Saccharomyces cerevisiae S288C: one gene and its partners. The gene in region 1 interacts genetically with each later gene. Each region holds a gene or a part of one and is shown in the gene's direction. Other genes may lie near its edges. The genes, in order: SRY1, YPL034W and CBP4.

The links.
Region 2: mutations in SRY1 (region 1) and YPL034W together harm fitness more than expected from each alone (negative genetic interaction), as found in Saccharomyces cerevisiae (2 studies listed by BioGRID).
Region 3: mutations in SRY1 (region 1) and CBP4 together harm fitness more than expected from each alone (negative genetic interaction), as found in Saccharomyces cerevisiae (2 studies listed by BioGRID).

What each region holds. Positions count from the first base shown.
Region 1 is NC_001143.9:16,758-19,975, reverse strand, and holds SRY1 (threo-3-hydroxy-L-aspartate ammonia-lyase SRY1), read left to right. Parts: upstream 1-1,636; coding exon 1,637-2,617; downstream 2,618-3,218. UniProt on the Saccharomyces cerevisiae protein: Catalyzes the deamination of L-threo-3-hydroxyaspartate to oxaloacetate and ammonia. Shows a high specificity towards L-threo-3-hydroxyaspartate as other 3-hydroxyaminoacids, i.e.
Region 2 is NC_001148.4:485,001-487,816, forward strand, and holds YPL034W (uncharacterized protein), read left to right. Parts: upstream 1-1,711; coding exon 1,712-2,209; downstream 2,210-2,816. Other genes in the region: H(+)-exporting P2-type ATPase PMA2, read left to right, coding at 1-686; SRL4 (Srl4p), read right to left, coding at 2,362-2,816.
Region 3 is NC_001139.9:845,357-848,507, reverse strand, and holds CBP4 (Cbp4p), read left to right. Parts: upstream 1-2,102; coding exon 2,103-2,615; downstream 2,616-3,151. Other genes in the region: ERG1 (squalene monooxygenase), read left to right, coding at 85-1,575; YGR174W-A (uncharacterized protein), read right to left, coding at 1,767-1,853.

The sequences.
Region 1 (3,218 bases):
CGTAAATATTAGCATTGACCTTGTCAATGAAGTAATTGTCTTTGATTTTAACCGTGTTAAAGATTTCGCAAAAGAGAAAGCTTGCTGGCTTGGAGCAGTAACTTTTTTTGATTTTTTTTTACAAGCACACATGCTTTTGCCTTTAGAATATTACGGCTCCTCATGTGGATAGTAAAAACTTGACCGTTGCATCTGTTCTCCTTCGAACAAAGAATAAATCGTCTGAAAAATCACATAGAAAAATAATAGAAAAATAAAAAACATAGTAACATATTTTAAAAGAGACCTTTTATTGAAGAAAATTTGGCGATAAAAATGATTATAACATTGAAATGACGAAGAAAAGGACAGTGCCCGAATTCTCGATTCCAATAAAAGGCGAAAAATTACAATCGCCAGCATGTTTGGTACGGGGCGACTCGTGGCATTTTAAAGTACGCTGGCATGTTTAAAGGTATTAGTGTTCTTGGCGTGGAAAGTGCAGGTGTCTCACTTTTTAGAACGAACAAATTCAAACAATATACAACAATCCGCCGAAAACATTCCAGAAATTAAGATTGTTAAGCACTTTTGCTAAGAAAAAAAAAGGGCTCTCCCCTGTGAATTAACTCAAAGGTAGCGTGTTCTGCCTATGCAAGGTGACCGTTTTTGCAGATATTGTAGTGAGATGCTCTACAAAAGGGGTTTCCTAATCTAATCTTTTACCATATCAAAAATGCCCTAATATTATTATTAAAGAGCTATCAAAGCCTGATTCCTTAGGTATATGACTAGTTCCCGAATTAATGGCATTGATTCATTACTTATTTTATTAGGGGGATGATAAAAATAATGATATCTTTTTCTGCAGCGTCATTTAAGTACTGATTGAGACTGACAGTTGTGATAGAGATATTAAGTAGTAGAAACGGTCCATGAATTGTTCTTTGTTAATATTCTTGCTGAGGGAGGCTTTTCTTTTGGGCTGCTATGCTTTCATTCTACTTAAGCAACGAGATAGGAAGCTTCAAAAGGTGAATGGTGAAATGCTGAAGAAGATTTCGTCATTCCAATCCTCGAGAGTGCGACGTAAGTAGTGACTCTAATGAATTTTCTATGCCTCATAAAGCTTGAGGTATATTTATCCATACGCAAATAATACACGATCTAGGATTATTGTAGTATGTTATTGTTTGACAATATCCTTGGACAAGTTCTAATCACTTATATTTCCCAAACATGATTCGTGTATTTTGGCGTTAGAAAACGACGGCAAGTAAGCTCCCAACATTTACTTGACGAGTTTTTTGTCACTATCATCACGCCCTAGAGCCAAGTTATATTTTTATCGTAAATTCTGTAAATTAACAGTCATTCTAAGCAGGTTGTTTTAATATTTACAGGTAACTTGGCTGACTTCTTTTAAATGTGGCTTCTATGACAAAAAAACTGAAAAAAATGACTAATTAGTAAATTCAGCCTCTTATCATAAAATCAGGGTCTATAGGACGGTACGTGAGAAAAAGATAAGCTTTGGAATATAAAGAGTTACATTTTCATTCTGCAAAAATTCAAATAAAGGAGTATTGAAAAAAAACTTAAAAAGTACAAATAATTAATATAGTTCGAGATATTTAGTTTTCATTGAGTTGGAAAAATGATTGTTCCCACTTATGGAGACGTTTTGGATGCCAGCAACAGAATTAAAGAATATGTAAATAAAACACCGGTTCTCACTTCACGAATGCTTAATGATCGACTTGGAGCACAAATATACTTTAAAGGTGAGAATTTCCAACGAGTGGGAGCGTTCAAGTTTCGTGGAGCAATGAATGCTGTTTCAAAATTAAGTGATGAAAAAAGAAGTAAGGGAGTAATTGCCTTCTCATCAGGAAACCATGCACAGGCTATTGCTCTTAGTGCAAAACTATTAAATGTACCTGCAACAATTGTTATGCCCGAGGATGCGCCCGCCCTTAAAGTTGCTGCTACAGCCGGTTACGGAGCACATATCATAAGGTATAACAGGTATACTGAAGATCGCGAGCAGATTGGGCGTCAACTAGCAGCCGAACATGGTTTTGCATTGATTCCGCCCTACGATCATCCTGATGTTATTGCAGGGCAAGGTACGTCGGCAAAAGAGCTATTAGAAGAGGTTGGACAACTTGATGCATTATTTGTTCCTTTGGGCGGTGGTGGGCTCCTTTCAGGATCTGCACTTGCCGCTAGAAGCCTTTCTCCAGGCTGCAAAATTTTTGGGGTTGAACCTGAAGCTGGTAACGATGGACAACAATCCTTCAGATCGGGTTCCATTGTTCATATCAATACGCCAAAAACTATCGCAGATGGCGCTCAAACACAACACCTCGGTGAGTACACATTTGCCATTATTCGCGAAAATGTCGATGATATTTTAACGGTTAGCGACCAAGAGCTAGTAAAATGCATGCACTTTCTTGCGGAACGCATGAAGGTGGTTGTTGAGCCCACAGCTTGTTTGGGATTTGCAGGTGCACTTCTAAAAAAGGAAGAGCTAGTTGGGAAGAAAGTAGGCATAATACTAAGTGGAGGTAATGTAGACATGAAGAGATATGCTACTTTAATCTCTGGGAAGGAAGATGGCCCAACGATTTAGTGTATACTTTTGAATTTTGAGTTCAGTTTTATAGTGAAGAATTGGAAAGCTTTAGTTGTCTACTTTCACACGGCATATATCATTTGACTTAACATTAATAACATGGTTGAGATTTTGAAGTGAGTTCAGCAAAAAAAGCCTCTAGCTGATTTATACTCTGATAACTCTACATATTTTTCTACTAGTATTATATTTCACTGAACTGACACCCTTATGTGGGAAAATTTTTTGGCAGAATGATAGTGTGTGAGAGGGAAGAATACTGCTTATGTCAAACTAATAATATAACTTCTGACTGTGACTATGAGCATTACTGGTATATTAGTTTCTTTTGCATATTTTGAACTAAAACAGAAGAGCGTTCCTAGGCTTACACCCAGTAAAGACATAGCTTCTAAGTTGAAAAAACATATCTCTACTTCAATTAAAGGTAACTGTCATAATGTCCTATTTTATACGCAGAAAAAATTCTCTTTTCCACACACAATATCGTCTGCTCTTATTACTAATCAATCGAGATCTTGCATGAAGATATTTATGGTCCACAGGAAAGGATAAGCCTCTATTTTAAGGAATTATTACCTAACCAAGACCAAAACTG
Region 2 (2,816 bases), on another chromosome or scaffold:
ATGTTGTTTATCGTATTGCCCTATCCTTACATTTGGAGATTTTCCTGGGTTTATGGATTGCTATTTTAAACAACTCTTTGGATATCAATTTGATCGTTTTTATTGCTATTTTCGCAGACGTTGCCACTTTAACTATTGCTTATGACAATGCTCCTTATGCTCCTGAACCTGTGAAATGGAACCTACCAAGATTATGGGGTATGTCTATTATTTTGGGCATAGTTTTAGCTATAGGTTCTTGGATTACTTTAACCACCATGTTCTTGCCTAATGGTGGTATTATCCAAAATTTTGGTGCCATGAATGGTGTCATGTTCCTGCAGATTTCACTAACTGAAAATTGGTTAATTTTTGTCACTAGAGCTGCTGGCCCATTCTGGTCTTCCATTCCATCGTGGCAGTTAGCCGGTGCCGTTTTCGCCGTTGATATTATTGCTACCATGTTTACCTTATTTGGCTGGTGGTCTGAAAACTGGACTGATATTGTGTCAGTCGTTCGTGTCTGGATTTGGTCCATTGGTATTTTTTGTGTATTGGGAGGATTTTACTATATTATGTCCACGTCTCAAGCCTTTGATAGGTTGATGAATGGTAAGTCATTAAAGGAAAAGAAGTCTACAAGAAGTGTCGAAGATTTCATGGCTGCTATGCAAAGAGTTTCTACTCAACACGAAAAAAGCAGTTAGTAATTTTAAACATCATCCATCTGATTTTTTTTCTTATTGATCTCCTTTTTGTTATTCCTCATTTTCATTTCAATTTGTCGATACCAAGGAAGCCAAGACGTTATAAAAGAACACGGTCAACAAAAATCAAATTAATGCCTCTTCAATTGTGCTCTGTTTGATACCTTCGATATGATGTTACAGTTTTAAAGTTTACACACAAGTTTTTAGACTAAGTGGCATCATATCTGTCAATTTTATCACACACACACACACACACACACACAAACAAACATATCCACATATCAGAAGTAGGCCGATCTTTTGCTTGATTGGATGCAAATTCATATGGAAAATTTTTTTCATATTATTTCGTGTTCTTTTGACTATTTTCCTCTCCAAAAAGGAAGAATCATTCCAATAACAACACACGAATTCCCATCCAACATGGTGAAATGACTAAATATTTTTTTTTTCGAAACATTAAATCAATCTAATTCTTAATTTTTAATAAACATATAATGCACACTTATTTACATACAAGCACATTGCACGTATTATATCAGTTTCTTCTTTTATGTTGATATATTTTTCTAATAATGTTATTATCATGTAGTCGTGTATGTGCGCCTCTCCCGCGAGAAGTCCAACACCATAAGAAATCAAATGTCAAGAGAAATAAAGAATTGTTTCCCATCATAGATAAGACTATATCAGAAAAGTGCTCATCAAAGCTAAATCTATTATGAGATGTCTTAGGCATAACAAAAAAGGGAGAGCGGTGCAAGATAAACATACCGTCGGATAAAAAGTACTGTCATTATCATCAGTGGCAAGATGCAAGGTACACACGGGCACCAAGAGATAATGCGCAAAATAAACCGGGTTTTATTTACATCTATACATACAGTAACCTCTTTGAATCATACATATCTGAAAAGACGGTAGATTTAAAATGGCTATTTATTGATGAGTCAATAGTTCGGACTAATGGTAAAAAGAAGAGACAATGGGTAGACAGAGACTTTATTCTATGTAAGATAGGAATGACCACTCGAAAAACAGTAGATTCAAGACTTTTAGAATGGCAAACCACATGCAAGCATCCAGTGATAAACTTGACTCCAGAGAAAGTCGATAAATTATACCACTTGAAATTGAAAAGTGAAAGCAAAAATATCAGTTCAAACAGGCTATTGCCCATTTCATTATCAAGCTTACAAAAAAAAATGGAGAAACTTTTCATCAAAGATAAAAGTCACTCACACAAGCCTTCCCTTCCAGATCCTAAGGTGCCAACCCTACGCACTTATAAAGATGGTGGATTTTTCATTAGCGGAAAAGGTTCAATGAAACTACCAGATATCGAAAGCGCTATTCATAAATTTTTATGGAAGAAATACGGGAAAGGATTGGTTTACTGTTATGGGTGTGATCCAACTGGAAAAAAGAGGCATACAGAGTGGTTCAATGTGCCTGTATTGGAGCTACCATCAGTACTAAGACTTATTGATTCTTATTGCCTTGGAGGAGAATCTCGTTAGACTTAAAAAAAATTTTTTGGCCTATTCTGGCCGGTTTATTCAAATTATTTATCATCATAAAAATTGTAGTGTTACCTTTCTTTTCCTTGAATTATTTATAGAAATATATGTGCTTAGCAATTTTATCACTGTTACTTCGATTTGTAGTACCCTTAAGTAAAAGAGCTTTTGAAACCAGTTATCAAAAGAATATCACCAATTGATCTTTTGCTTTCGAGAATTGTATCACCATATCTTCCCTCAAGTAGACAGTGGACGAGATGTTTCGAGATACTCGGGGAAAGTCTCTTCCAATGTGCTTCACTTTCAAAACTGGGTAAATATGCAATCAGCGTTTTTACATTCAAATTACTATCTTTCAATTTAAGCTCTGAGGTTATTCCATCGTGGAAAGAGTTTATACCACATTTCGATGTAATAAAATGTGTTCCTGATTTGCACGGTTTTAACGTCAATACCGATGATATGTTGACAATATAGAACCCCTTTGCTTTTTCTTGAGCTTCAGCTTGAACCTTTGGAAAAATGTTACTCAAGCAGAACTTAGTTATCAATATTACACTTTGTAAATTATACCTCACGATTTTCTCGAATTCATTTAAAGACT
Region 3 (3,151 bases), on another chromosome or scaffold:
ACAATTGTCCAGTATTGAACAATACAGGTTATTTCGAACAATTGAAAAAAAAAAATCACAGAAAAACATATCGAGAAAAGGGTCATGTCTGCTGTTAACGTTGCACCTGAATTGATTAATGCCGACAACACAATTACCTACGATGCGATTGTCATCGGTGCTGGTGTTATCGGTCCATGTGTTGCTACTGGTCTAGCAAGAAAGGGTAAGAAAGTTCTTATCGTAGAACGTGACTGGGCTATGCCTGATAGAATTGTTGGTGAATTGATGCAACCAGGTGGTGTTAGAGCATTGAGAAGTCTGGGTATGATTCAATCTATCAACAACATCGAAGCATATCCTGTTACCGGTTATACCGTCTTTTTCAACGGCGAACAAGTTGATATTCCATACCCTTACAAGGCCGATATCCCTAAAGTTGAAAAATTGAAGGACTTGGTCAAAGATGGTAATGACAAGGTCTTGGAAGACAGCACTATTCACATCAAGGATTACGAAGATGATGAAAGAGAAAGGGGTGTTGCTTTTGTTCATGGTAGATTCTTGAACAACTTGAGAAACATTACTGCTCAAGAGCCAAATGTTACTAGAGTGCAAGGTAACTGTATTGAGATATTGAAGGATGAAAAGAATGAGGTTGTTGGTGCCAAGGTTGACATTGATGGCCGTGGCAAGGTGGAATTCAAAGCCCACTTGACATTTATCTGTGACGGTATCTTTTCACGTTTCAGAAAGGAATTGCACCCAGACCATGTTCCAACTGTCGGTTCTTCGTTTGTCGGTATGTCTTTGTTCAATGCTAAGAATCCTGCTCCTATGCACGGTCACGTTATTCTTGGTAGTGATCATATGCCAATCTTGGTTTACCAAATCAGTCCAGAAGAAACAAGAATCCTTTGTGCTTACAACTCTCCAAAGGTCCCAGCTGATATCAAGAGTTGGATGATTAAGGATGTCCAACCTTTCATTCCAAAGAGTCTACGTCCTTCATTTGATGAAGCCGTCAGCCAAGGTAAATTTAGAGCTATGCCAAACTCCTACTTGCCAGCTAGACAAAACGACGTCACTGGTATGTGTGTTATCGGTGACGCTCTAAATATGAGACATCCATTGACTGGTGGTGGTATGACTGTCGGTTTGCATGATGTTGTCTTGTTGATTAAGAAAATAGGTGACCTAGACTTCAGCGACCGTGAAAAGGTTTTGGATGAATTACTAGACTACCATTTCGAAAGAAAGAGTTACGATTCCGTTATTAACGTTTTGTCAGTGGCTTTGTATTCTTTGTTCGCTGCTGACAGCGATAACTTGAAGGCATTACAAAAAGGTTGTTTCAAATATTTCCAAAGAGGTGGCGATTGTGTCAACAAACCCGTTGAATTTCTGTCTGGTGTCTTGCCAAAGCCTTTGCAATTGACCAGGGTTTTCTTCGCTGTCGCTTTTTACACCATTTACTTGAACATGGAAGAACGTGGTTTCTTGGGATTACCAATGGCTTTATTGGAAGGTATTATGATTTTGATCACAGCTATTAGAGTATTCACCCCATTTTTGTTTGGTGAGTTGATTGGTTAACTACAGCTTATAAGGGAGAGAGGATAGGAACCGTCAAACATTAAGCTGCACCTTTTTTTTTTATTACAGAAGTCGGCTTGGAAGGCTTGTATAGTACATTACGATAAACACATCTTATTTTTATTTATTACTTATTTATTTTACATATTTTCAAAAAAATTCACATATCATTTATTATTAACCGAAGTGTTTTATACTTTTTGTTCTTTCCTTAAAAATGCCTCCAACAGAAAAGGAAAAATGGCTTGATATGCTTCAAAATATGCATTGAGATTCATATTCGGTTATCAATTAACGATATTACTTCCTTAAGTGATATTAAATCAAGCTTGCCGGATTCTGCAGTCAGAATTATACATAATAGTATTTGTGCTCTCGTAAATCCTTTCAGAATTACACCATAGTAGTCTTTGTGAATGTTCTACTTATTAGAATAGATTATTGCTAGTTTATCTCACTTTTCATTCCCCATATCCCTTTTTTTGCTCATCCCCCGGGGTATTTTATCAAGATAAAATTTTATATACATGCAGTGCGCGATAACTCCTAGAGAGGCAGTAATAGCAAAACAAAGACAGTATAAGCATTATTTGGGTATGGAAAGACCATTGTGGGTACGTTGGTTGAAAGTCTATGCAATTGGTGGCGCTATTATTGGAAGCGGGTTTCTGCTTTTCAAGTACACAACGCCAACAGATCAACAGTTAATCAGCCAGCTTTCCCCAGAATTACGTTTACAATATGAGAGGGAGAAAAAACTACGTCAGTCGGAGCAGCAGGCTTTGATGAAAATTGTTAAGGAAACTTCTCAAAGTGACGATCCAATTTGGAAGACGGGCCCCCTTCAATCACCTTGGGAAAGGAACGGTGATAACGTTCAAAGCAGAGATCACTTTGCTAAGGTGAGGGCGGAGGAGGTGCAAAAAGAAGAGTTGGCTAGGATCAGAAATGAACTGTCTCAGCTAAGATCTGAAACGGAGGAGAAAACAAAGGAAATAGTCCAGGATAAGCAGGTTAAAAGCTGGTGGCGCTTCTGGTAGATGGGTCGGGTCACTCAATTAGGAAGGGCAGCTTGAACTTTTGCATCCTAAAACATACGTCTGTGTCATTTATGATATATTATTTATTTGTACACTGTAAATAGGTTTAAAAATATAACTTCATACTTATTTTTAGCTATTTTAGTTCCCATACTTGGGGATGGAAAAAACATTGCGCAAGCCCGGAATCGAACCGGGGGCCCAACGATGGCAACGTTGGATTTTACCACTAAACCACTTGCGCTTGTTATTTATATGAGATTATTGCATCATGCAATGGGGTAATGTCAAGGTTCTTGACAATCCTAATATAAACAGTCTTAGGGAAGTAACCAGTTGTCAAAACGGTTTATCAGCTTGATTCACGGGATCTTACTTATCCTATATATTATATAAAATATGGATCATACTAAATGGTGGAAGCGCGGAATCTTGGATCTAAACCAATTGTTCAGATACTTATACGTTAGAGTAGGTTAGCTAAGGAAGGCAGAGTTTTATTTTCATGTTGCTCATTCTGTTCGTTTTGCTGTAAG